7 linked regions of the Xenopus tropicalis genome follow. The protein of the gene in region 1 purifies or fractionates together with the protein of each later gene. This does not show direct contact. Links are inferred from orthologs where the notes say so. Each region holds a gene or a part of one and is shown in the gene's direction. Other genes may lie near its edges. The genes, in order: sf3b4, rbm17, snrpa1, ddx42, dhx15, eftud2 and ilf2.

Evidence for each region.
Region 2: the proteins of sf3b4 (region 1) and rbm17 purify together in Homo sapiens (affinity purification with mass spectrometry; 4 studies listed by BioGRID and IntAct, with this or other methods). This does not show direct contact. The link is inferred for Xenopus tropicalis from reciprocal best matches to the Homo sapiens genes SF3B4 and RBM17.
Region 3: the proteins of sf3b4 (region 1) and snrpa1 purify together in Homo sapiens (affinity purification with mass spectrometry; 3 studies listed by BioGRID and IntAct, counting the BioPlex papers as one, with this or other methods). This does not show direct contact. The link is inferred for Xenopus tropicalis from reciprocal best matches to the Homo sapiens genes SF3B4 and SNRPA1.
Region 4: the proteins of sf3b4 (region 1) and ddx42 purify together in Homo sapiens (affinity purification with mass spectrometry; 3 studies listed by BioGRID and IntAct, with this or other methods). This does not show direct contact. The link is inferred for Xenopus tropicalis from reciprocal best matches to the Homo sapiens genes SF3B4 and DDX42.
Region 5: the proteins of sf3b4 (region 1) and dhx15 purify together in Homo sapiens (co-immunoprecipitation; 4 studies listed by BioGRID and IntAct, with this or other methods). This does not show direct contact. The link is inferred for Xenopus tropicalis from reciprocal best matches to the Homo sapiens genes SF3B4 and DHX15.
Region 6: the proteins of sf3b4 (region 1) and eftud2 purify together in Homo sapiens (affinity purification with mass spectrometry; 3 studies listed by BioGRID and IntAct, with this or other methods). This does not show direct contact. The link is inferred for Xenopus tropicalis from reciprocal best matches to the Homo sapiens genes SF3B4 and EFTUD2.
Region 7: the proteins of sf3b4 (region 1) and ilf2 fractionate together in Homo sapiens (co-fractionation; 3 studies listed by BioGRID, with this or other methods). This does not show direct contact. The link is inferred for Xenopus tropicalis from reciprocal best matches to the Homo sapiens genes SF3B4 and ILF2.

The regions. Positions count from the first base shown.
Region 1 is NC_030684.2:128,887,628-128,891,631, reverse strand, and holds the start of sf3b4 (splicing factor 3B subunit 4), read left to right. Parts: upstream 1-1,204; 5' UTR 1,205-1,240; coding exon 1,241-1,274; intron 1,275-3,558; coding exon 3,559-3,687; intron 3,688-4,004. UniProt on the Homo sapiens protein: Component of the 17S U2 SnRNP complex of the spliceosome, a large ribonucleoprotein complex that removes introns from transcribed pre-mRNAs.
Region 2 is NC_030679.2:84,301,937-84,305,436, reverse strand, and holds part of rbm17 (splicing factor 45), read left to right. Parts: intron 1-79; coding exon 80-178; intron 179-1,967; coding exon 1,968-2,040; intron 2,041-3,500. UniProt on the Homo sapiens protein: Splice factor that binds to the single-stranded 3'AG at the exon/intron border and promotes its utilization in the second catalytic step. Involved in the regulation of alternative splicing and the utilization of cryptic splice sites.
Region 3 is NC_030679.2:115,912,779-115,916,715, reverse strand, and holds the start of snrpa1 (U2 small nuclear ribonucleoprotein A'), read left to right. Parts: upstream 1-1,137; 5' UTR 1,138-1,226; coding exon 1,227-1,308; intron 1,309-2,680; coding exon 2,681-2,828; intron 2,829-3,937. UniProt on the Homo sapiens protein: Involved in pre-mRNA splicing as component of the spliceosome. Associated with sn-RNP U2, where it contributes to the binding of stem loop IV of U2 snRNA.
Region 4 is NC_030686.2:17,157,282-17,161,269, forward strand, and holds the start of ddx42 (ATP-dependent RNA helicase DDX42), read left to right. Parts: upstream 1-1,188; 5' UTR 1,189-1,297; exon of another isoform or gene 1,298-1,357; intron 1,358-1,388; exon of another isoform or gene 1,389-1,637; intron 1,638-3,378; 5' UTR 3,379-3,385; coding exon 3,386-3,600; intron 3,601-3,988. UniProt on the Homo sapiens protein: ATP-dependent RNA helicase that binds to partially double-stranded RNAs (dsRNAs) in order to unwind RNA secondary structures. Unwinding is promoted in the presence of single-strand binding proteins.
Region 5 is NC_030677.2:31,430,013-31,433,512, reverse strand, and holds part of dhx15 (pre-mRNA-splicing factor ATP-dependent RNA helicase DHX15), read left to right. Parts: intron 1-2,558; coding exon 2,559-2,895; intron 2,896-3,500.
Region 6 is NC_030686.2:17,873,738-17,877,237, forward strand, and holds part of eftud2 (116 kDa U5 small nuclear ribonucleoprotein component), read left to right. Parts: intron 1-992; coding exon 993-1,075; intron 1,076-1,699; coding exon 1,700-1,866; intron 1,867-2,496; coding exon 2,497-2,621; intron 2,622-2,727; coding exon 2,728-2,791; intron 2,792-3,500. UniProt on the Homo sapiens protein: Required for pre-mRNA splicing as component of the spliceosome, including pre-catalytic, catalytic and post-catalytic spliceosomal complexes. Component of the U5 snRNP and the U4/U6-U5 tri-snRNP complex, a building block of the spliceosome.
Region 7 is NC_030684.2:144,160,612-144,164,600, forward strand, and holds the start of ilf2 (interleukin enhancer-binding factor 2 homolog), read left to right. Parts: upstream 1-1,189; 5' UTR 1,190-1,244; coding exon 1,245-1,249; intron 1,250-2,965; coding exon 2,966-3,022; intron 3,023-3,590; coding exon 3,591-3,633; intron 3,634-3,744; coding exon 3,745-3,849; intron 3,850-3,936; coding exon 3,937-3,989. UniProt on the Homo sapiens protein: Chromatin-interacting protein that forms a stable heterodimer with interleukin enhancer-binding factor 3/ILF3 and plays a role in several biological processes including transcription, innate immunity or cell growth.

The DNA.
Region 1 (4,004 bases):
TGGTTAGTACCTTTGTCCCTTCCTAAACCCCACCAACAGGGACCCCCAAACCTGCTTAGTTGTTGTATCTGGTTAGAAGAAGAAAAGTGCAGGTTTGGCAGCTGCCATCTTGGGCTGCTCTGGCTCCCCTCACTACTGCTCCACCAGTCTGCTTTTTATATCCAGGGGCAACAAACAAGGAGTTTTTGGTACCAAGGCATTCACCAGGCTTTCAGTTACCTTTAACATTAAAGGTTTAAAAATATACATCAGACACAATAGTCAAATCTACTATTTGGCCAATAAGACTTTCTTGTCTCACTAAATTCTCAACCAACAGACATCTCTATGTAAAAGGGGAGGAGCATTGGTCTTTACATGTGACCCTTGTATGTTCCTTTAGGGTGAAGACACACAGAGCTACTAGTAGCAGCTACTTTTTCACAGCTACTAAACGCCAAAAAATCCCCTGCCATAGACAATACTGAGAATTCCCTCTGCTAAGGGCTCTGGCACACGGGGAGATTAGTCGCCCGCGACAAAACTCCCTGTTCGCGGGCGACTAATCTCCCTGAGTTGCCTTCCCCTGCCATCCCATCGGCGACAATGTAAGTCGCCGGTGGGATGGCACACGCGGCGGCGCGATTTCCCGAAATCGCCGAAAAAGATTTGGGAAATCGCGCCGCCGCGTGTGCCATCCCGCCGGCGACTTACATGTTTGCCAGTGGGATGGCGGGTCATGACAACTCGGGGAGATTAGTCGCCCGCGAACAGGGAGTTTTGTCGCGGGCGACTAATCTCCCCGTGTGCCAGAGCCCTAAAACACATTGAGACTGTTATCAGTAAATGATCAGCATTGTCTATTTAAGTAGCGACTACAAGTAGTTGCTACTAGTAGCTCCGTGTGTCTGCACCCTTAGCTCACACCAGGGACCCTTTAATAATCCTTGGTGCCCATAGAAACAATGAAACACCCTCTATGCGCTGACAATACTGGCACATTTACTGTAAAATCTTAAAAAAATATAAAAATAAATAAATAACCCCCTCAGAGTTTACTACACGTTTACTTTTAGCTTTGGGGTTTCATTACAATACAAATATCTCCGCCGGAAAGCATTGACTGCATAAGGCATGTTAATAAAGTTATTCCATCTAAAAAAAAAAAAAAAAAGTGGTTGCGGAAGTAAGCGTTCTGAGGCCGGAAGTAGGGAAGCGGAAACTGAAGCAGCGAGGTGGCTGAGTGGTTGGCGGCGAGAAAATGGCGGCTGGGCCGATATCTGAACGGAACCAGGGTAAGGAACGTACAGACTGCGTATGGGCTGCATGGGGTGATTGGGGCGGAGGGAACTGTTATGCCGGGGGGGCTGGAAGTAGGGGTATCCGGGGTTTACAGGGAACAGTAAGAGCTCAGAGCAGGGGGAGGCGGGCTGCACTGTGTGCATGAGGTGCAGGCTCCATCTCTGTGCAAAAGTCATTTGGACACAAAGCTGTTCTTATAATATCGGCAGCCCGGCCTGTAACTGTACCTGAATCTACACAGAAACATTGATCTGCTTCTTCCCCACCAATACAGTTTATAGTGCTATCCCCATAAACACTGTGTATAATGCACAGAACTAATGCTAAGCAGCCTCCCTATATACATTCATTACACATTTCCAACGTTTATAAAGTTTCTTGCAAAATATAATTGTTAGCGAAAGCCGTCTGTCTTATTATAGTCTACACTGCTGGTTCTGACTTCTGAAACAATGTAACAAAGGCCAGGGCTATTAAACTATGAAATGGTTTCAAGAATAAGAAAGGGGCAGATAGATACTACTTCCAATAGCAATAGCATTTACCTTTGAACCACTGATTTTTTTTATTACCGTATATACTCGAGTATAAGCCGATCCGAATATAAGCCGAGGTACCTAATTTTACCTAAGAAAACTGGAAAAACTTATTGACTTGAGTATAAGCCGACCAGTTACATGGGAGTAGGAGAAACAATAGGTTACCTCAAAGCTGTTCTATCTCATGGTGGCGATTTGGGACATCAGTGCCCGACAAGACAAGGATGAGACACCCACAGAATGGCCACCCAGCACCCTGCTATATTTCAATGAGACCCAAAGCAACTCCCGGTGTGCAAGTGAAGCAGCGGTACCTTGCGGTGTGCCCTGTCAGCAGCGCCAGAGGATCCGTAAGCCCAGCATTTACGCTGCTCTTTAAATAAGCGGCGGCGCTCCTCTTAATTCCAACCTGTGTGTCTGCAAGGAGCCGTCATGTAATCGCCTCGCCAGCTGCCGTGTGACAAGGGTTAAAGAAACAGAGCGCTCTCGGCACAATTATTGCAATAAGCAGCACACCCGACAGCAACAAGACACCACGGTCCGGGAGTTTGGCGCTGTTTGGCCGGTCCTTAGAGTTGCGGGACAACCTCAATAAAGTCCGCGAACGGGTCCTTCGCTATCTGGCGGTAGTCCGAGCGCTATCTTCCGCTACGTCACAGGTGTGCAGGCAGGTTCGCATGCAACGAGCAGCTGCGAAACCATTTACCGTATATATACGCGAGTATATGCGCGAGTATAAGCCGAGGGTTCCTTTTTCAGCACATTTTTAGTGCTGAAAAACTCGGCTTATACTCGAGTATATACGGTATATATATATGTTGGAAAGTTGATGAAAACTTTCTCTCGTTATCTTTCGGGTTTATAGGTGGATATCTCCAGGGTTGTAAAGGGAAAGCTAAACCCTGTAGCAAGGAGAGTTTGTATTACAAGGATTAAAGGAACAGTAACACCAAAAAATGAAAGTGTATAAGGGCTCTGGAACACGAGGAGATTTGTCGCCGGCGATTTTTAAAAGAGCGATTTGGCGACAAGACACCAATGCTAAATCAATGGAAATTGCCAGCGTCAAAACATACGAGGCTACTTCAGATCGCCTGCTGTTTCAAGTCGCACACAGACCCTTTTCTGAGCGACTTGAGGGGGGTTAACTGTTGAGTGTACCATGGGTAGCAGATCGCCTGGAGCTCAACTCGCATGAAATCTCTTTGAGGGTATTCTCGTGGCGACTTGTCGCCAAAGCGCCAGGGGGAAAAAACGCAGACGACAAATCTCCTCGTGTGCCAGAGCCCTAAAAGTAACTAAAATATAATGTGCTGCTGCCCTGCACTGGTAAAAGCTGTGTGTTTGCTTCAGAAAGTCTACTATAATTTATATAAATAAGCTGCTATGTAGCCATGGGGGCAGCCATTCAAAGGAGAAAAGGCACAGGCACATAGCAGATAACAGATAAAACACTATTGTATTCTACAGAACTTATCTGTTATCTGCTATGTAACCTGTGCCTTTTCTCCTCTTTTCCAGCTTGAATGGCTGCCCCTGTGGCTACACAGCAGCTTATCATATAAATTATAGTAGTGTTACTGTAGCAAACACACCAGTTTTACCAGTTCAGGGCAACAGTGCCTCGGATCTATGATCTGTGCATTTATTCAGAGTGTAACGGGGATATTTAAAGAGAAGGTGGAATAGCTGATTTGCCGTGTACTATAACTTTTTTTTTTTTTCTTTTTGGATTTAGATGCCACAGTGTATGTCGGAGGCCTGGATGAAAAGGTGTCTGAGCCTCTTCTATGGGAGCTCTTCTTGCAAGCAGGGCCTGTAGTGAATACACACATGCCCAAAGACAGGGTCACGGGGCAGCATCAAGGTAAGATTGGCACCTCTTAACCATTATTTCTTATAGCTGTGTATAGGCAGGAATGGAGGGGAATGCTGTGGAGAAGTTGTTGCAATTTGTAACAAGAATGTTTTAGTCCCTCCTCCCCTGCCAGGATTTCAAATGATGCAGAAAGAGAAGAACTGTTTTGCAGCTGGATTTCAGCATATAAAAATGGTATTTATTCATGCTTTTTGAAGGAACAGATTACAGGGTATTTTGGGGGTTTCTGTGTGCGGGAAGCAATAGTTTCCACATCGTTTGATCATGGTTAAAGCAACATATCTACTTGGTCACTGTCTCTTCCC
Region 2 (3,500 bases), on another chromosome or scaffold:
GTAATTTGCGCTTTTTCTGCTATTGGAAAACACTCAATTTTTGTTGTCAAAAGCTCATTCTGCTGATTTCTACTTCTAGAACATGGTAGGTGCTGGGGAAGTTGATGAAGATCTGGAAGCTGAAACAAAGGAAGAGTGTGAAAAATACGGCAAAGTTGGAAAATGTGTCATTTTTGAGGTAATAACCAGCATGTATGGTATAGGTGTCGTGCTTTTGCTTTACTTAGTACTAATGATATGAGTGCTGCCTTAGTATGTTATGCAGTAGCAGTGGTGTATCCTTAGTATTGTAACTGTGTTTATGAAATGCAGCAACAGTATTCAAGGGCACCCATCCTAAAGGCCAGATAAAATAAGATTCGTTTTTAGTTAGATGCTTGTAGGGGTACACTGACATTGAGCACATGGCTTCGATCAGAAGAACTGGGAATGGAAGTGAGCAGGTATAAATTAAGCTAAAAAGTGCACAAAATGGCATATATATTTTTTTTTTGTTAATATTATTTATTTTATTTTTTTTTAAAACTTAGCTTTTTGTTTAGCAGCTGTCCAGTTTTAATCGTATTTTGCTACTAGGGACTCTTTAACAGTAGCACCAGGCAGTGGTTTCAGCAACAGACTGGAAGTTGAATAGGCGAGGGCCTAAACAGAAATTGTAACAAATAAAATTGTAACAGTAAATTTGGTCATTACAAAGCAGTAGTTTGTTGTTGTCCCATATCAGTGTTGTTTTCTGAAAAATATGTGCACATTTTGATTTTGAAAATTTAAAACAGGGTAGTGTTTCCCACTGTGTTTGACCACCTCTTCTTTTAACAACACTCTTGTAACCATTTACTGGCTTTTGAAATGTGCATTGATAAGCCCAGATAGTCCTTCTCTTCAGCCCGGAGGAGGCAGCATATATAATTTACCGAAAAGAATTTCACCACAGGAAAGTTTTCCACTTTGCCTCAGTCCATCTGAATGAGCTTGGACCCAGAGAAGGTGGTAGTGTTTCTGAATCATTTTTATATATGTTTTTTTTCTTTGCATTGTAAATGATGCAGTGATTAACCATGTTCAGACAGTGGTTTTTGGAAATATTCCGGAGCCCCTGCAGTGATTTCCACTACAGAATCATGTCTGTTTTAAATGCAGTGCCAACTGAGGGCCCAAAGATTATGGCCATACAATATTGGTTTTTGGCCTTGTTCCTTGTGTACTGTGATTTCTTAATCCTCTAAATTTTTTAACGATATTATGTTCTGTAGATGATGAAATCCCCAATCCTTTGTCATTTTTGTTTAGGAATGTTATTAAATTGTTGCAATATTTGACGGTGCAGGGTTTGACAGAGAGTGGTACCCCTCCCCATATTTACTTTTGAAAGATTCAGCCTCTCTGGGATCCGTCCTTTTTAGCATTACGTTTTTGCCAATATCAAAGGGTGTTAAAATATATGGACGATGATGCACTCCCTATAGTAATTTGCAAAGTCATGAGTTTTGACACCACATGTCTTTCTGTGTGTCACCTCATTTCTGAATATTTTTTTTATATAGGTCACATTATCCCTCAAATTATGCTCAGTTTATTGTGTATATACAAATATCATAGTATCCTTCAATAGACTGTAACTGAAGATTGCTGAAACCTTTGTTTTTCAAAAAGAAAAAAACAACAACAAAAATGAGTTAGTATACTTGATTCTTATATACTTATTCTGACTTGGCAGAAGCTATGAGTCTATATAGGAAAACTAGGGTACACTTTGACAAAAATTAACCAAATAATATGGTCATAAGCCTTTCAATAGGTTTTTGCTATTGAAGTATGTTGAGATATGTAATTCTTTAACACTGCATAAGTGACACAAATGGAAGGGCAAGCATACTTATATATAGGCTTGTCTTAAAAGATGTTGGCTGTGCTCAAGTCAAAATTATAATAATTCTAATAATTGCTGTGTGTGTTTTTGTTTCCAGATTCCTGGTACACCAGATGATGAGGCTGTAAGAATATTTTTGGAATTTGAAAGGGTTGAATCTGCAATTAAAGGTAAATTGCTTGTTTTACCGAAACTGAGATTTTTGTGTGCATAACAAAGTGATCAATGATAAATTAAACCTATTTCAGAACTTGTTTGTCCGAGATAATAATGAAGTATTGTAATACACACAGAAATCCAGGTATAGTAGGCTGCATCACTTCCCAAGTTATGTAATATACTATAGCAAATATTAAGCAAATGGAAGGTCATAAAAGCTGCACTCTTAGGGGCACATTTACTAACCCACGAACGGGCCGAATGCGTCCGATTGCGATTTTTTCGTAATGATCGGTATTTTGCGATTTTTTCGTAATGATCGGTATTTTGCGATTTTTTCGGAAATGATCGCGACTTTTTCGTTACCAATACGATTTTTTGCGAAAAAACGCGAGTTTTTCGTAGCCATTCCGAAAGTTGCGCAAAATCTGGCGATTTTTTTCGTAGCGTTAAAACTTGCGCGAAAAGTCGCGATTTTTTCATAGAGTTAAAACTTGCGCGAAACGTTGCGCCTTTTAAGTTTTTAACGCTACGAAAAAATCGCCAGATTTTGCGCAACTTTCGGAATGGCTACGAAAAACTCGCATTTTTTCGCGCAAATAATGGCTACGAAAAACTCGCGTTTTTTCGCGCAAATCGTATTGGTAACGAAAAAGTCGCGATAATTTCCGAAAAGTCGTAAAGGCGCTGAAAAAATCGCAAAAAATACGAAAAAGTCGCAAAATGTTCGTTTTCCAATCGGAATTTTTCCAATTCGAATTCGTGTCTTAGTAAATCAGCCCCTTAGACTTAAAGTCATGCCATTGTTGTCACCAATAAAAATAATACCTAACATAGGGTTTCTCACATGGGAGCAACATGGAATATTGTTTTTCTGACTTGTTTGTCAGGTTTGCTTCAAACAATAAGAAAATGATAACTGCTATGGGTTTGGTAGAATTTTAGCTGTTAGCTGCTTCTGGCTCTATAGTCCAGTATAGCCCAGCAAGACCTTTAATGAACCTGTAACTTTTTAAATCTATATTCTGAATAATGCTACCTAGTAAACTTTGCATTCTAAGCAATAAGCAGTTTTTATGCTTCCAGGAACTTCTTGTATGAAAAATCAGTCTTTATGTGCAGTCAGTGAATAATACTGATTGTCTTCTTTTGAAGTTAAATGTGATTTCTGAAGTGATGCTTCCACTTCCACTCTTGCAATATCATATCAAATGAGAGCTGTCTGGTGTGATCTTCTGTGCAGGTTTTCATTCCAACTTCACTTAACATAGAAAACAAATAGTAATCAAAGTTATTGCACTTACACTACATTTTAGAACGCTTTTCAGTCTATGGTATATTCAGAAAGTGGGTGGGTATTAGTATAAAGAATAAAAAAGTGCTAAAAATAAAAGCATTATGACATGAAGCTGAACATAGATAAGATCAGTCCCATTTGCCACATGGGCAGATTTTGTCTGACAGAACCACT
Region 3 (3,937 bases), on another chromosome or scaffold:
CCCTTCATAAAGGCTAATACCAAACCCCATACATCTGTCTCCTCTGAGAAGTTTCTTTGCATTACCCATGTATAGGCTGCTAACTGCATTCACTTGGCTTAGCCTCCTACTGCGGCTCTTTTACCAACACTTAAGCATTGGTATATCAGTGCATTATTACTAACCAGTACAATTCCAGTCATTCCCATTCAGTCTCTGACCTGCTGCAGACCAAGGCTAATCACTGGTTGCTATTAGTAACTGTGCAGAGAAAACTTTGCTTGGGTTGGTAATTATGTCCTTACTGACTTAGCAGGTCCTGATTCACCCATTTCTTAATGAAACAACAGTAGCTAATAGTGTAGCTTCCACTGATTTAGATTTCCCTCAATCACCTTTTGGGCTCTGGCACACGGGGAGATTAGTCGCCCGCGACCGCGTTGGCTTGTTGATGCAGTCCCCGGACCTATATCCGCCGCAATAATTCAATCGTTTGGCCCCAGGGTAAGGCACCTTGTGTATGGGCACCTTAAGGGCTCTGGCACACGGGGAGATTAGTCGCCCGCGGCAAAACTCCCTGTTCGCGGGCGACTAATCTCCCCGAGTTGCCTTCCCCTGCCATCCCATCGGCGATAATGTAAGTCGCCGGTGGGATGGCAGACGCGGCGGGGCGATTTCGGCAAATCGCTGAAAAAGACTCGCAAGGCTTTTTCGGCGATTTGCACGAAATTGCGCCGCCGCGTCTGCCATCTTGCCGGCGACTAATCTCCCCGTGTGCCAGAGCCCTAAGGGTGAAGATACAGGGAGCTACTTAGTAGCAGCTACTTGTCACGGCTACTAATCACCAGAAAATCCCCTGCCATAGACAGTACTGAGAATTGCCTCTGCTAAAACACACGTAGAGACAATTATCAGTAAATGATCAGCTTTGTCTGTTTTAGTAGCCATGACAAGTAGCTTCTACTAGTAGCTCCGTGTGTATTCTTCCAAGGTTTTCTTATTCTTCGCTTCTTCTAGCTGTCGCCACAAGCTTTGCGCTCGATTATTCTTTACTCATGTACTTTCCCCTGTCTCTTGTACAGCGTCACAGGTACATGAGGCAGCGCTAGGCTCCGCCCCTTTTCAAAGCGGCTTGCTGATTGGCCAGTAGAGCGCCTAGCCATAGCGGAAGTGACTCTCTAGTGGACTTCCTGTCGTGTGGTGCCGCGCGTTGGCTTTGGCTCTGGCTTGCAGCTTTCCCGGGCATCATGGTGAAACTCACGGCTGATTTGATTGAGCAGGCTGCGCAGTACACTAACGCGGTGCGGGACCGAGAGCTGGACCTCAGGGGTGAGCGGCGGCCTCTCCCGGCCTCATTGGGAGACTCTCGGCTGCCAGTTGTTCTCATTTCCAGGGCCAGTCCGCCAATCTGCACTCACTCTCCATTGTATTCTGCGTTTGTTTGTTTGTTTGAGCTTATAGTTATTTCCCTAACATCCGGCCGTTAGTTTGGGATTTAGACTGGATCGCAGTGTAATGAATTAGGGAAAACAACTCAGTGTGTGTATGGTTAAATAGTCCGGGGTATTGGCTTCCCAAAAGTGCTGGGGGGGGGGGGTTATATTTTTTTTGGCAAGTGTGTGTGTGATTGGTGTGTTGGTTCTATATGAGATATATGTATACACACACACACTTACCATTGCGGTAGGATCTAGTATTCCTTATGTACAGTGGCAGCAGGCACAGAAGCATTAGAGCTTTATGCACTTATATTCTTTTAGTGGGGAGAATATCTTTGAGTTCCCTGCTGTATTGTATCAGTCATGTCAACCAAATATTATGAGTATGGAGCCCCTACAATACTTGGACGCCTGCTCCAGCTCCCCCCTATTACACTATATGGAACTTATTTGAATGTGGCTGAAGAATCCATAATATTTAGGCATAGTTGTAACACTGTGTGGGTAACAGCTGTGTGTGTCGTGGTTAATATTCAGTCCTTTTATAGGTTTTGTATGTAAAGAAATCCTTCTGGGGCTGGGGAGGGCAGTTGTTGCTTGGAGTTGTAGTTTTACTACAGCTGGGGTGAGCATGTCTTATAAAATTATTAGTATTAAGAAATAACATAAATGTTGTCGTTTGAGGAGATTCCTTGCAGAGTGGGCATATGCCTTGGCCATTTGTAAGGCTACCACTTTTACAATAGGTTTAAATTGGTGCATAGACAAAACAGAAGTGATTTGTTTGCTAACCTTGACCTGCAGCTTAAGGGTAGGTAACTGACCCCAGTAAAATAAAAACCCACTATTGCTTTGTGAGGCTGTGTAGCTGGGGCTATGTTCTGATAGGCTTTTGCCCTTTAGCCAAACACAACATTGCCTGACCCTAAGCCCAGTGACACTGACAAAGCTGCTCCTTGTTGGAGACTGACTCAGTAAGTGGTGGGCAGTTGGGAGGCAGGGAGGGCATCTGCACTAGAAAACCTTTTGATATAAGTAGCAGGGGAATGAGGCACATTCATGTTCAAACCTGGATTGTGTTACTACCCCAGTTGCTTGTTTTGGGAGCAAATGGAAACTACAGATATTGGCAAAGTCATAGAGGATGTTTGCAGAGACACTGTGTATACTTCTTTGCTCTCAGCCACACACACATATATCCAGTGGCAGTATTATCAACTCTCAGTTCATATGTAAATGTTATCTCTGATTCTCTCACACAGGCTACAAAATCCCAGTGATTGAGAATCTTGGGGCAACACTAGACCAGTTTGATACAATTGATTGTTCAGATAATGAGATTAGAAAACTGGATGGATTTCCTTTATTGAAAAGACTTAAGACCCTCCTACTAAACAATAACAGAATATGGTAAGTTTGGTGCTTTATTATAGCTATATATGCTACTGGTTCTTACACTGTCATTGCTATCTGTGTATATGATACTTTTTTGACATGTATTCAGAATCTGAATCTGAATGCACTTCATTTCAAAATAAAGGCTTTTTTTTTTTATAACAGACAGTAAAGGAAAGGGTGTATTGAACTTTTGGCTCTCAATAAAAGCACCTTAGCAGCCAAAAGTATGCTATAACCCTAAAGCAGCAAACTGTTTGCCACTGTGTTCACTCACATTAGCGTTTGGGTTGGTTGCTGCACACACTGCATTAATCACTGGTGTAGGAAGAAAATAAATACCTCGGTAACACATAAGCATATCCTTATTCCTTCTGGGTGAACTGACTTTAAGATTTGTTACATAACACCAAGAAAAGGCAAACCAAGTATGATCATTTTGTTTGAATGAATTTTCCTCAAAAGATCCATCATGTCTCCATGTAGTCTATAGACTTGCTATGCCCACTAATCAGTCTCGAAGGGTTCATCAGCCTATCGGACCTTAAATCCACAGCTCCTTCTTGCTCCTAAGAGCAAATGATGACTGGGTGAATGTAACAGATTACTCAAGAGTAGCTTTTGAAATGGCTGGTTCCAATCACCAACAAAATGTATATGTTACAAAGCCCCATGAATCATCAGCATATCTTATTTTTAGCTAGTACGCATCTGGGGAGACCATAATAAGGAGCAATAACATCAGCATTAAAAGCAAAATTCCATTCCTACTTGAATGCAGCCAAACCACATGTATAAACAGAGAGTGCAAGTCCTTCTCATTATGGAGTGGATCTCTTAGGACCGGCAGCCAGCATTATTTTATAAAGGGTTGAATTGAATGATTATAGGCCTTTGTAAAAGTTAAATAAGTAACCCTGTGAGCTGCAGACTTGATTTATTCACTGGATTTTTAAAAAAATAAAACTGACTGGTGCCTTTTATGGTTAAAAAACATATTTATTCTCATTAATGACAAGTAGAGGTAATAAGAGTCCTGCATAAAACCCTCAAAGCACCCCAGCATGGCCTGTACTCTGTTTAGCACTGCACTTTCTCAAAGTGTTAGATGCATTTTAACATTA
Region 4 (3,988 bases), on another chromosome or scaffold:
CTCTTTTTTAAAGGACTAGTCTGTTGCAAAAAGAAATGTCACTTTAATAAAAACAATAATGGTGACCCACTTCTACCATCACTATGCAGACCTGCCAAGCACCATGCATTAGACAGAAGTCGGGGAGTGGGGTAAGGGGGCCTATTAAAACCCTTTATTTCCCTAGCTAAGTCCCTTCTGAGTCATTATCATGAATATGTGCACTGTGCATGGGTGTAAGAGGATACCAGAATTTATTTATTCAGATTTCGTGGGTCAGATTTTACCTGATATTGTCATATTAGGAGAGTGGGTAGTATGAGGCACTGGGATGCATCTGTCGTTTTTGGTATAGTATGATTTATATCAGGGGTCGGGAACCTTTTTGGCTGAGAGAGCCATAAACACCACAAATTTTAAAATGTAATTCCGTGAGAGCCATACAGTATGTTTGGCTGTGGATGCTGTGGGACAACGTAGGGTGGGTGCCAAGAATGCTGGATGCGATGCGGAGGAGGGCATGGCCTGCGCTCGGCGGATAGAAGATGTGTTCTAAGGCTTAGAACACGTCTTCTATCCGCCGATCGCAGGCCACGCCCCCCGTTATTTTTTTTATTAAAGATTTGGCAGCGAGCCAGATGCAGCCATCAAAAGAGCCACAACTGGCTCCCGAGCCATAGGTTCCCTACCCCTGATTTATATGTTAGTTTTTGTTGTATTTATTTGAGCCAATAAATGTTGTGATTTTTATTCCATTGAAATTTTTGCTGTTTATTCATTATATTTTGACCCATGCGACTATAGACTTGTAGGGTGCCTTTTATTGGTCCCACCATACTACAAAATCTTCTGTGAAGTTTAGCCCTAATAGTCATCATTAGAACAATATAATAGTTTCATAAAGTACTATGTGTAGGCAGTAACCCATAGCAACCAATGGCTACCTTTGTTCAGCCAGCTTCAAATTGAGCAAAGAAAAAAAATGACTTCAAATTTGCAAATTTGCCAGGTGCTAGTAAATGAGCACCACTGGTTTCAGGATTGCTTTCATACCAACCCCTCATTTCATCTCACACTTACTCATAACATTGGACATTTCTGTGAAAAAAGCATGGAGACAACCCACTTGGTGGCTGTTACTGAAGGCACCGGTAGGACTTAGCTTATGCACATTATATAGCGTTCTCAGAACACTTCAATGCTGTACAATACAGGTCACATGACGGGCTGCCTATCCCTGACGTCATCTCGGTGCGACGGACATGTTTACGCGGCGCTGAGCTCGGAGGTAACTGCGGCGGACGGCGCAAAGGAGGAGGTGCGGAGTGTGGGACAAGGGGAGGTGGGGGAAATAACCGGATTGTGTGCTCGAACAATTGTAAGTCGCAAGGCCGAGAAAACAGGAGGCGCTGTGCGGGGCCAACTCGCTGCCTTGGCTGACAGTATTAGCGAGGAGGAGGCCATTTGTACGGACACGGCAGGGGAGGAGAGAGCAGTTGTTCATTATATCTAGTAGTCCAGTCTGCAGCTCTACAACTCCCAGCATTCTCTCTTATAGGGTGTGAGGAGTTGTAGGCCAGCAGCAGGTGGAAAGCCATTGAGTGAACATCCCTGTTGAATGTATATGAGGGCTGCTGGTTATGAAAGTTCTAATATAGGTGAGCCGGGGTGCCCATCAGCCATACAACATGCTGCAAACACAAAAGTGCCATTAGCAACATAAGGAGACAGGGGCAGTGAATCTGTTTAACACACACACACCTTTGTGTTTTTTCTTTGGGGATCACATGCAGTGGTGCTGTAGTTCCATTCTGCATGGGGGTGAGCAGCTGAACATAGCGAGAGTGGGTGATTCTATGGAAACCATGCCGGATGATGTAAAAAAACAGCCAGCCACTTGTGTACATTACACGTCACCCATTGTCCAAATTGTCTGATATCCTTAAACTCAGGGGCCGCTGATGCCCCTCAAACCTTTATAAAGACTGCCATTAGTGCTAGGAATTGTCTGTTACCAGCGGGACATGATCTGTATAAACACAAAAGATGGAATGCTAGAATGTTCCGTGTATATTTAGGAAGGGGGTACTTAGAGTTACAGGTGGATGTTATAGAACAGCGCTCCCCAACCTTTCTTACTCGTGAGCCACAGTCAATTGTAAAAAGACTTGGAGAGCAACACAAGCACCATAAAAGTTCATGGAGGAGCCAAATAAGGGCTAAGATTGGCTATTAGGCAGCCTCTATGCACCCTATCAGCTTACAGGGGCTTTATTTGGTAGGAAATCTTGTTTTTATTCAACCAAAACTTGCCCCCAAGTCAGGAATTCAAAAATAACTCCCTGGTTTGGTGGCACTGAGAGCAACATCCAAGGGGTTGGGGAGCAACATGTTGCCCCTGAGCCACTGGTTGGGGATCACTGTTATAGAATGTAAGCACTTTTGGGCAGGGCCATCTTCATCTCTTGTATCGGTTATTGGTTTGTATGTAATTCTGTGTGTCCAATGTGTAAACCAATTTATTGTACAGCGCTGCAGATTATGTTGGCGCTTTATAAATACATGTTAATAATAATCATCACAGGCTACACCCGTGGTATATTTAATTTTGTTTATCTTGTGTCAGAATTCTAGTTTTATTTACTTATTGAGAAGCATGAGAGCTGATTTGCTAACAGGTTTTAAAAGGCTGATTCCCAGTTTATCTTTAAAATGGAAACACAAGTATATTTGCTCTCAGGCTGGTTGCTGTTTGGTTAAAATGTCTTGTGATTTGCTTAGTAGACATTTTATGAATTAAGATATTTATTCAGTGTACAGCTGTCTTTAATGAGGATCATAGAAGTTTTAGGCCTACATCACCTCAGTGTTTTAATTATATCTACTTGCAGCAGCGATCAAAACATTAAGGGTCACTGTGTGTCCTTAATGAATGAATGGCCTGTAAGCCATTTATATTAGGACTGAAATATTCATTTTTAATGAACCCACTGACTATTCTGAAACTCCCATTTTCTTATTCTGCTGCCCTCTTATTCCCACACTCACATGATACTCACACTGTGGGTATCCTGATCTGACTCTGAGTGAAGGTGTACTGCCTATTTGTTTGTTATGCCCAAATCATATCCTGTTTTTACTTTATAGGTTCACATGAAAATTAGATGCAAAACATAATGATAGGAATTGGTGTGTGGCTGCATGAAAACATTGACAGGACTAATGTTTTTGGGCAATTCTTACTGAATTATGGGAGGAGTCCTGCATCCTTTCCCTCTGCCTTGTGTTGCTGAAACTTTTCCTGGGACAAGAAAGAGTCTCCATGTGTGGCATTACCCATAGATTTCCTGCTTTATTATATGTACATCCTTATTAGCTAATGTCGTCTTGTTTTCTCAGCGTAACCATGAACTGGAACAAAGGAGGACCCGGCAACAAACGTGGATTTGGATTTGGTGGATTTGCCATCTCCACTGGGAAAAAGGAGGAGCCGAAGTTGCCCCAAGCCTCACACAGTGCCTTTCAGTCTTCGGCAGCAAAGTTTGGGTCATCCACTAGTAACCAACTCCCCTCATTCTACAAAATTGGCTCCAAGCGGGCCAACTTCGATGAAGAGAATGCGTAAGTGATGGAGGGGAAATGCATGATGCAGCACAAAAATAGGTAGTTCCTTATGATATCAGGTCTGTCCATCTAAAGGCCCAGAGGCTTAATGTGACCCTCCAGGAGATTTATGTGGCCCCCAAATTGCTAAAGGCTTTACTGACCTCTTTGTATGACATTATAATTTCATTATAAATTTGCCCCTGACCATATAAGTATTGTAAATAACTGGCCCACAATCGTATAGCACTGGAATAAAGCTTTCTTATTACTCTTCGTGTAGTGGGGACATATTCCCCATTCCCCATTCCCCAATGCTTTTAAGAGATTGTTATTCAATCCCATCAGTCTTTACCCCAGTGGACCTTACTGTCTAAGGTCCCTGTCACATTCCACACACATTATG
Region 5 (3,500 bases), on another chromosome or scaffold:
AACATACTAAAAGTTAATTTATAGGTGAACAACCCCTTTAACATTTTAGCTGTTTGACTTTGCCTGTTAGGTTGCACTAATATGTGCACATTTTGTTTATAGCTTGTAAATGCTTTAGTTAAATGCATCATGTTTGCTGTTCCATTGCTTGTGAGGAATTGATCCTGACTGGGCAAAGTTGTACACAGAAGCCAATCATCTTGGTGACACTGCTCATGTTCAGTGTGCTTTGGCCTGTTGTTGAGAAGGTGGGCTTAGGGATCAGCAAAAAATCATTGATGGTCTCTCACTGTTCTTACTTTTGCAGATTTTTTTGACAGATTAAACCTCAGTAGAAACTGGTCTAATTATTTGGCCAGAAGATAAGAACATAAAGAAATTTGCTTAGAGCTGTTCCCGTGCCTCTCTGAATGTGGTTTTTATTTGTATAGATGCATGGATATTTGGCACATTACTGTACAGAATCGGCCCTGGTATGGCTGCCTTTAATCTGTACAGCTGACTATGTGTAATTTAAGGCTGTAAGGGTGCGTATTGGCTAAGCAGGTGGTGCGCATAATGAGTGAACCTGGCTGTCCACACTGGGAGCTCCCACTCTGTGTAGGCGACCTAGTGCCAGCGAGGGCTATTGTTTCCACCCAACCACAGTGTGGGCTTTATTAGCCCTCACCTCTGGTGGGAGAAGACATTTCATTGTCATAGGTGTCCATTAAGTGGCCACAGAACTTATTTTGCTCTTGGTTGGCATCGGCAGGTCTGCTACAGCATGGTCTTCAAGTTTATTTGTAGCACTGTAAATATAAAGCATTACGAGGAAGTGCTGACATATGCGTGGGCTTATCTGTTAGTATAGTGCTATAAGCAGGAGTTTTTTAAATTTGACTGTATTTAGGGCAGCTTTATTAAAGGTCTGCTTCTCGTTAGGGCCCTTTTACACAGGGTGGTTTATTGTACTACCGAAAATCCCGTTTGCGAAAATGCATAAGGAGGTATTTTGAAAGAGATTAATTTTCTATGTGTCCGGGACCTTAAATACTTTGTCTTTGGTTTCTGCTTAATAAAATACTCATTACAAATTGGTATTGTCTATTTTTTATGCACCTTTTAATAATTGCATTTCAGAACCAATTGCTGACTATATAAAACAGTCACTTGTTAGATATTATGCATTATCAAAAAGTTATATTGATAGATAAATAAAAATTACTTTTTGCCAGTGAGAGATGTTTAGTAGCCCACATGTACTGTCTGTAGACACAATATATGTGCTGCAGCTTAGTATGTCACTTGGCCAGCAGAATGTTAGTACAGGTGTGGGACCTATTATCCAGAATGCTCGGGACCTGGGGTTTTCTGGATAAGGGATCTTTCCGTAATTTGGATCTCCATAACTTAAGTCTGCTAAAAAAATCATTTAAATATTGAATAAACCCAGTAGGAAATCAATTTCAAAAATTAAAATTATTTGCTTATAATGGAGTCTATGGGAGATGGCCTTTCCGTAATTCTGAACTTTCTGGATAATGGGTTTCCAAATAACAGATCCTATACCTGTAGTGACAAATATGTCTGTGCTTACCAGGACAGCCCAGGTAAACGTAACCCCTCATACTTTGTGATAATGGTTGGGGAGGATTTTGTGAAGCAAAACCGGGTATGAAGAGTTTAATATTGCTTCTGAAGCTTTTAAGACATGCAGGATACTAGGCTGTTTGCAGAGGGCATAATGGTGATGTGGGTGGTTGACAACATTTTAAAATAATTTTAGTAAATTGAGTATAGAGCTTTTTGAGCTGTGAGAAATTCTAAACTGTACATTGTAGTCTTATGAGGTTAGATACATGCTCGGTAGTGTCGGTGTTCATTTGTACATGAGAATGGGCTTGTGTACCTGCAAACAGACAGCATTACATTAACTGTGCCAACAATACAGTGCAAGGTATATGAGCTGTGCGTGTAATAAACTTCAGAGCCGAGTCAATAAAAATTGCTGTTATTTAAATGATAAAAAGGAACCCTATGGCCATGGAATCCTTATAAAGGTCATCTGTCAAGATTCCTACTAGGCACCTGGACTGGTAGTGTACTAGTGTCATAGATACTCTTCTCTTAATGACTCGATCACCAATGTAATATTCTGGATGTACACTACTGAATGACATAGTACCCTGCAACTGTATTCTGCTCTATTATACCCAATCTTCCAGAGCCATATATTGGCCCGTAACTACAATGCTGCAGGTATGGTCTGCAAAGTTGAATAGCAGTCAGCGGCTCTATATTGTTGTAAAGTCTCAATGGCAAGGTGGCCAGTAACTATTTGTCCAGATAAAAAATCCATTGCAAAGTGCAGAGCACAGCTTTGGCAAATGCAGGCCAGTCCTGTCTTTACCAACTGCCATAAATTAGATGGAAAGGAAAGGGCCCCAGTTGAGAACAAATATCTGGTTGCTGGTCACTAGATGTGGGCAAACTTAAGACTTTTTATATATATATACATTTTTGATTATAGATAATCTTACCTGTGATAATAACACAAATTGTTTTTCAATCCCTAGAAAAGACAGAGATCGAGAGAGAGATGACCGATCTAAGGACCGGGACCGTGACAGAGATAGGGATCGGGAAAGGGACAGAGACAAGGATAAAGACTCACGTGGGTCATCCAATTCTACGTATATTACAGCTAGTGGAATGCCACCTCTAAAACCTGCAGCGGTTGCTCAAGGCATTAATCCCTTTACCAACTTACCCCACACTCCGCGCTACTATGACATCTTAAAAAAGAGGCTACTGTTGCCAGTATGGGAATACAAAGAACGGTTTACTGAAATTCTTATGAAGAACCAGAGCTTTGTATTGGTTGGTGAGACTGGATCTGGGAAAACTACTCAGGTATTTTATTTTGCCTGCATTTAGCTTTTCTGGCAAGGATTATTTTTGTGTTATACAAATATAACAATAAAGCAAACTGTATATTTATTTCAAAGAATAATTATCATAGAATGAAGGTGGTCCCTGCTGCATAGACCTTACAGTCGGTGGTTAATATAAGGGCACACATAGTATAGTAATCAGTACTGTTCTTCACATTGGGTAGGGCATTAACCCATTATTAGTCAGATTTTCATATATTTTGTTAGTGCTCTAAATGTAGTTTGCAGTAGTCTAGGTGGCATAGGATAAGGGGATTGTTTTAAGGAATAAGAGCAAGGTTTTAGTTTAGGCCAAAGACTTGAGTGCTTGTCAAATAGCAGAAGGTAGTGAAGAGGTTAACCCAAGAAGTTTTTTGCGTGGTCAGTCAACACTTGGTATAAAAGTAGGGTACAAATAATATAACTATTGATTTAACATCTACTGTATTAATATAGAAATAGCATATAACCATCATTCCTCTGCCCCCCAAGCATCAAAATCCTGACTGGCACAGGGATTGTTTTAGGGTTGGCAGAAAGAAAGAGCATTAGACCTGGATCCCATCATCAAAACATAGAGGAAAA
Region 6 (3,500 bases), on another chromosome or scaffold:
AATAGTTACATAGTTACATAGTTACATAGGGTTGAAAAAAGACCTGTGTCCATCAAGTTCAACCCATCCAAGTAAACCCAGCACACCTAACCCACACCTACCAATCTATACACTCACATACATAAACTATAAATACAACCACTAGTACTAACTGTAGATATTAGTATCACAATAGCCTTGGATATTCTGATTGATCAAGAACTCATCCAGGCCCCTCTTAAAGGCATTAACAGAATCTGCCATTACCACATCACTAGGAAGGGCATTCCATAACCTCACTGCCCTCACCGTGAAAAACCACCTACGCTGCTTCAAATGGAAACTCCTTTCCTCTAATCTAAAGGGGTGACCTCTGGTGCGTTGATTGTTTTTATGGGAAAAAAGAACATCCCCCAACTGCCTATAATCCCCTCTAATGTACTTGTACAGAGTAATCATGTCCCCTCGCAAGCGCCTCTTTTCCAGAGAAAACAACCCCAACCTCGACAGTCTAACCTCATAGTTTAAATCTTCCATCCCCTTAACCAGTTTAGTTGCACGTCTCTGCACTCTCTCCAGCTCATTAATATCCTTCTTAAGGACTGGAGCCCAAAACTGCACTGCATACTCAAGGTGAGGCCTTACCAGGGACCTATAAAGGGGCAAAATTATGTTCTCATCCCTTGAGTCAATGCCCTTTTTTATACAAGACAGCACTTTATTTGCTTTAGTAGCCACAGAATGACACTGCCTGGAATTAGACAACTTGTTATCAACAAAAACCCCTAGATCCTTCTCCATTAAGGATACCCCCAACACACTACCATTCAGTAGATAGTTTGCGTTTATATTATTTCTACCAAAGTGCATAACTTTGCACTTATCAACATTGAACCTCATTTTCCAGTTTGCTGCCCAGTTATCTAATTTTGTCAAATCGCTCTGCAAAGCGGCAGCATCCTGCATGGAACTTATATTACTTATAGTAATGCCTTCTTTTTTTTTTTTTTTAGGTCATGTTAACTTTTCAGATGAAGTTACAGCTGGATTTCGGATCTCTGATGGAGTGGTGTTGTTTATTGATGCTGCTGAGGGGGTACGTTTTTACTTTTGTTAGGCTAATGTCCCATGGGGAGATTTAGTCGCTGCGATTTTTAAAACACGAGTTCCAGGGACAAGTCGCTCATCCTTTACTAACAATCGATTACTAGAGATTTCATGCAGGTGTCATATTCCACACCCACAATTAGAAATTACATTCAGTGCAATGGGGATATCGAAGCAAATTTAGTGGGTTTTACTTTCAGCGATTTCAGTAGTTTTGAATGACAAATGTTTCTTTGTAAAATTGCTCGAAAAAGGGTCTCATAGCTATTTGGAGCGATAAGCTATTTAAAGTAGTATTGTTGGTTGGCGATTTAAATTTCTCTATGTAGAGACAAAACAAACGACTTGTCGCTGGAACCTGTTTTTTTTTAACATCGCAGCAACTAAATCTCCCCATGGGGCATTAGCTTTAGGTGTGTTCCCCATGTGATGTAAATGTCATCTCTCTCCAGTGACCACCTTCTAAACTTGCCAAAGAGTAAAAATGGATTCTCAAGTAGACAGAACTTTTCACCAATGCAGCAATCATTGTTCATCTATTTCTCCTTTATTTGTAGTTCACTTAGTGCTATCTCTTGCCAAGACCCTTGTTTACTTTTTTCTTTCTCCCCAGGTTATGCTGAACACAGAGAGACTGATTAAACATGCTGTTCAGGAACGTCTTGCCGTCACTGTCTGCATCAACAAGATAGACAGGCTGATTCTTGAGCTTAAGCTGCCTCCGACTGACGCCTATTACAAACTGCGGCACATTGTGGATGAAGTGAATGGACTGCTTAGGTGATTGGGTAGAATGGGTTTAAGAAACTGCATGGCATTTTGATGATGTATCGATGCCAGAAGAGAGAGTGCTGATCTGCTTCATTACACACCTTAGATCACTGTGGATTGACAGGCACAGCATTAACCTGTTAGTGCACAGTCAGGGAAGATTCCATTGCGGAAACCTGAAAGTAAGCATTTTTGCATCAAAAGCTTCCATGTTAATGCAGACCAACGCCAAGCCTGTCAAAGCACAGTGATTTAGGCGCAGAAAGCAGCGGATCAGCCTACATACACCAGTGGAGAAAAGGCCACTTTTTATATGGCCCTTAAAGGGGATTTAAACTCAATTTAAAAACACACTTCAATGTTGAGCGTGTCTCTTTTGCAATGTACATATAATTTTTTTTTTTATGTGGTTTGAGATATTCACACATTATAATCAGTTAAGAAATAATCAGAGCCTCAGACCCTGGTATTAGAAGTATAAATCTGCTAATAAATCAGAGTTTGTAAACATTCTGCTTTTTACAGGGCTGGCTAAGAACCATTACATTTTTAAGCGGGTCCTGCCCTGACTGCACTGCACTGTCGTCTTCTGTCCCAAGAGTATGACACTCCCTGACAAGTCTTGTTTTTTCTCTACAGCATGTATTCCACAGACGAGAACCTAATTCTCTCTCCTCTCCTGGGAAACGTCTGTTTTGCTAGCTCACAGTACAGCATCTGCTTTACATTGGGATCATTTGCCAAGATTTATGCTGACACATACGGTAAGGGGACATAGGTTAAAGTCTATTCTAATATAAGCCTTGCAGGTTTTCTTATCATTAAATGATCCCAGTTGTTTATGGGTTAAATCCGTCCCTTTCTTTGCAGGGGACATCAATTACCAGGAGTTTGCAAAGCGATTGTGGGGAGACATCTACTTCAATCCGAAAACGTATGTAATTGTAGGAGGGTGTAAATTTTCTTTTCTGCCTGAAGCAGAGGCTAAACCAGTTGTTAAAACCCCATCATTGTTAAGCATCCCTAATTAAATGGCCTCTGAATTCCTTTCATATGGCTGTATTTGACAATGTCAGAAATTTGCTACAATGCAAAGGCACAAACTCATTCACAGCAGAAAGCAAAAAAAACGACTTGACATTTATTTGTTTAATGCCAGTTACTGCAATATTCTAGTGCTTAAAGAATAAGTAAACCTTTTTTTTTTTACTATCAGTAAAATTACTCTAAACAGCCTCCAGAATTACCTACCTTTGTCCCAGCATTTTCTCTGACCTGGTTCCTCCATTAGAAGTTAATCGTTTTTCTTTGCTTCCTTGTGCAGAGTGAAGCCCCGCCCCCACTTCCTGTTCAGGTCTCTCATCAAAAAAAAAAAAACCCCTGCTAATGCACAGACTGGCACCTGCTTCCTCCAGGCATGCCCAGAAGGCTCTCCAGGTCGACTACAGGTAGTCGAATTGAAGAGAGAACTGAACAGGAAGTGGGGGTGGGGCTTCACTCTGCACAAGGAAGCAAAGAAAAACGATTACCTTCTAACTGAGGAACCAGGCCAGAGAGAATACTGGGACAAAGGTAGGTAATTCTGGAGGCTGTTTAGAGTAATTTTACTTATAGAAAAAAAAGGTTTACCGTATATACTCGAG
Region 7 (3,989 bases), about 15 Mb from region 1:
CTTCGTATTCATTCCTAAATAACGGCAGGATGGGGCCCAGCAGTGTAGCATCTGCCCCCGGGGCAGTTCTGCAGGTTGCAGTGAATATGAATAAAACCTGGGGGTAGGTACTAACAGGGCGGAAGCTGCCGTTGCTCCCCTGCTGGGACATTGTGTCTCTCAGTAGCACCAAAAGGTGTGTGCGGATCACAATAGCACAGGGCGGAGTCCTGTTGGGGCAGATTTCAATGTAAATACCCCTGAAGGAACCTCATGGGGGGGATGCAGCAGTAACATATCTATGTTAAAGGGCTAGTTCCCCTTTAAATGAACTTTTTTTTTGTGGTTTTTCAGTTATTTAGGTTTTTGTCCTGGAGCTCTTACTATGCACCTATGCGGTTGCCAGGGTCTTATTTACCTTAGCAACCAGGCAGTTGTTTGAATGAGAGACTGGAATATAAATAGGAGAGGGACTGAATGGAAAGATAAGTGATAAAAAATAACAATAATATTGTAGCCTTACAGAGCAGTAGTTGTTTTTTGGTTGCCGGGGTCAGTGACCCCCATTAGAAAGCTGGAAAAAGGCAGAAGAGACTTGTAAGATGTTTGTTGCTATTACAGTGTTTGTCTGCTGCCCTGCTGGTTCTGACTTCTGAAGCAATGTAGCAGAAGCCAACAGATTCACAGAGCTGGAGAAGGAATTGACTGCTGCCACACACTGTATTACAGGAGTCAGAATGGGAAAGGCTGTGGGGTAACTACAGGAACAGCCCCCCCCCCCCATTACTTGTATCTCCCCAATAAACCCTCACAGACTTGCACATTTTTCATAAACAAACTATTTTGTGAGAGTTTTTCCACCATTGTTAGCGCCATTTCTTTACAGGGCGATACAAATGCAATACTGGAAGTAAAAATACCAGCAGCCATTTTGTCCAGGCGTTGTGTTGGTTGATTATAAATAAAGTTTAGCGGGAAAAAGTGGAATCTGCCGCCATTATGGAAGTAGCGTCCTGTGTGGGCGGGCTTACTCCGCCTTCGGCGATTGGTGAGTGTCCCCGTCCGTCACAGCGATGCGTTTGCCGAGCGGGTTTGGATAGGTTGTCAGACGCCGAGAGGGAGGGAGTTGACTGTTCGTGATGCTGATTGGCTGTGGAACCGGTCGTTATAGCCAATAGGAAAGCAGATTGTTGGTCTAGTGTGGCTGTATCGAGGGCCGAGAGGTTGTCCATTGTGCGGGAGTGTGAGGAACGAAGATCTGAAACATGAGGTGCGGGGGGTTCGGGGGCCGAGTGGGGAGCTGCCATGGGGATTGGGGGGACCGGGAGCGGTGCCGGGTTTCCTTCTCGCCTTCCGGGGCCTATTGTGGGGCACATTGTGTGCTGGGCTCCGGGGGGCCTGGTCCTACTGAGAATAGGATAGGGGGGCTCCGGGGGGTACTGTACCTAATATATAGGGGGGCCCTGGGGGTACTGTACCTAATATATAGGGGGGCCCTGGGGGTACTGTACCTAATATATAGGGGGGCCCTGGGGGTACTGTACCTAATATATAGGGGGGCCCTGGGGGACTGTACCTAATATATAGGGGGGCCCTGGGGGTACTGTACCTAATATATAGGGGGGGGGCCCTGGGGGGAACTGTACCTAATATATAGGGAGGGATAGGGGGGCCCTGGGGGGAATGTACCTAATATATAGGGAAGGGATAGGGGGCCCTGGGGGGAATGTACCTAATATATAGGGAAGGGGATAGGGGGGCCCTGGGGGGACTGTACCTAATATATAGGGAAGGGATAGGGGGGCCCTGGGGGACTGTACCTAATATATAGGGAAGGGATAGGGGGGCCCTGGGGGGACTGTACCTAATATATAGGGAAGGGATAGGGGGGCCCTGGGGGGACTGTACCTAATATATAGGGAAGGGATAGGGGGGCCCTGGGGGGACTGTACCTAATATATAGGGAAGGGATAGGGGGGCCCTGGGGGACTGTACCTAATATATAGGGAAGGGATAGGGGGGCCCCTGGGGGGGACTGTACCTAATATATAGGGAAGGGATAGGGGGGCCCTGGGGGGACTGTACCTAATATATAGGGAAGGGATAGGGGGGCCCTGGGGGGACTGTACCTAATATATAGGGAAGGGATAGGGGGGCCCTGGGGGGACTGTACCTAATATATAGGGAAGGGATAGGGGGGCCCCTGGGGGGACTGTACCTAATATATAGGGAAGGGATAGGGGGGCCCTGGGGGGACTGTACCTAATATATAGGGAAGGGATAGGGGGGCCCTGGGGGGACTGTACCTAATATATAGGAAGGGAAGGGGGCCCTGGGGGAACTGTACCTAATATATAGGGAAGGGATAGGGGGGCCCTGGGGGACTGTACCTAATATATAGGGAAGGGATAGGGGGGCCCTGGGGGGACTGTACCTAATATATAGGGAAGGGATAGGGGGGCCCTGGGGGGACTGTACCTAATATATAGGGAGGGATAGGGGGGCCCCTGGGGGGACCTGTACCTAATATATAGGGAAGGGATAGGGGGGCCCTGGGGGGACTGTACCTAATATATAGGGAAGGGATAGGGGGGCCCTGGGGGGACTGTACCTAATATATAGGGAAGGGATAGGGGGGCCCTGGGGGGACTGTACCTAATATATAGGGAAGGGATAGGGGGGCCCTGGGGGGACTGTACCTAATATATAGGGAAGGGATAGGGGGGCCCTGGGGGTACTGTACCTAATATATAGGGAAGGGATAGGGGGGCCCTGGGTACATGATCGGATAACAAATATTGGGCGCTGGATGTTTGAATAATGATATAGTGATAATAAATGAGTAGAACACAGAGGGTCATACAGTAATAAATACAAAGTAGTTATATTAGAGATTAAGAGCTAAGTGTCCTGTGACGCTTACAATCTAAGGTGCCCCCCCCCCCCCCAGAAATGTACGTATTCTAAATTGTTCTACTTTTCTTAGGGGTGAACGAGGACGTGGACGTGGCCGCTTTGGCTCCAGAGTGGGACCTAACACAGGGTGAGCTGCCTATTGTAACTACATACTCCCGTCAGTCGCTCCTGGGTGGAAATGTGATGTAGAGGGTAATGTTCCGAGACAGCTTGCAGTTGGTCTTCATTTTGTATTCATAGTTTTTTAATTATTTACATTTTTGTTCAGCAGCTATCTGGTTGCTAGGTGGGTGCTAAATCACCTTAGCACCCATGTAGTGGCTTGATTAAGAGACTGATCTATGAATAGGGGAGGGGCTGAATAGAAAGATAAGGAATAAAAAGTAACAATAACCATAAAACTGGAGCCTCACAGAGAAGTTTTCTGGCTGCCGGGGTCAGTGACCCCCATTTTGAAAGCTGAAGAGAATAAGAGGAAGGCAAATGATGAAAAAATAATAAATAAATAATGAAGACCAATTGAAAAGTTGCATTGAATTGGCCATTGTATAACATACTAACAGTTGCGTGTAAAGGTGCAGCCCCCCTGACTCTGTGCCATAGGGTAGCCATATTCCTTATTCAGTAGCCACATTGTGCAGTGCAGGTACATGTTCTCTAATGTAAATATGACCCTTTTATTCTTTCTCTTACAGTTTCAGACCCTTCGTCCCTCACATTCCCTTTGATTTCCACGTGGTAAGTGGCTTTTCCTTCCCCCCACATTCTGTACATGTATATATATATCTATATAGATAGATATATCTTCTCTATCCTTGTGCTTACATACTGACTTACCCTTCTTTTCAGTGTGAAATGGCCTTCCCGCGTGTGAAACCCGCCCCCGACGATAGCTCATTCAGCGAGTCACTGCTCAAACGAAACCAAGATCTGGCCCCCAGCACAGCCGAGCAGGTAGCTATATGCTTCCCTTGCCCCCCACCCCCGGCACTGTTGCCTCTGCCCATATTCATTATACCCTTTGTGCTCTCCCCCCACCAGGCCTCAATCCTTTCTTTGGTCACCAAAATCAACAACGTTATCGACAATTTGAT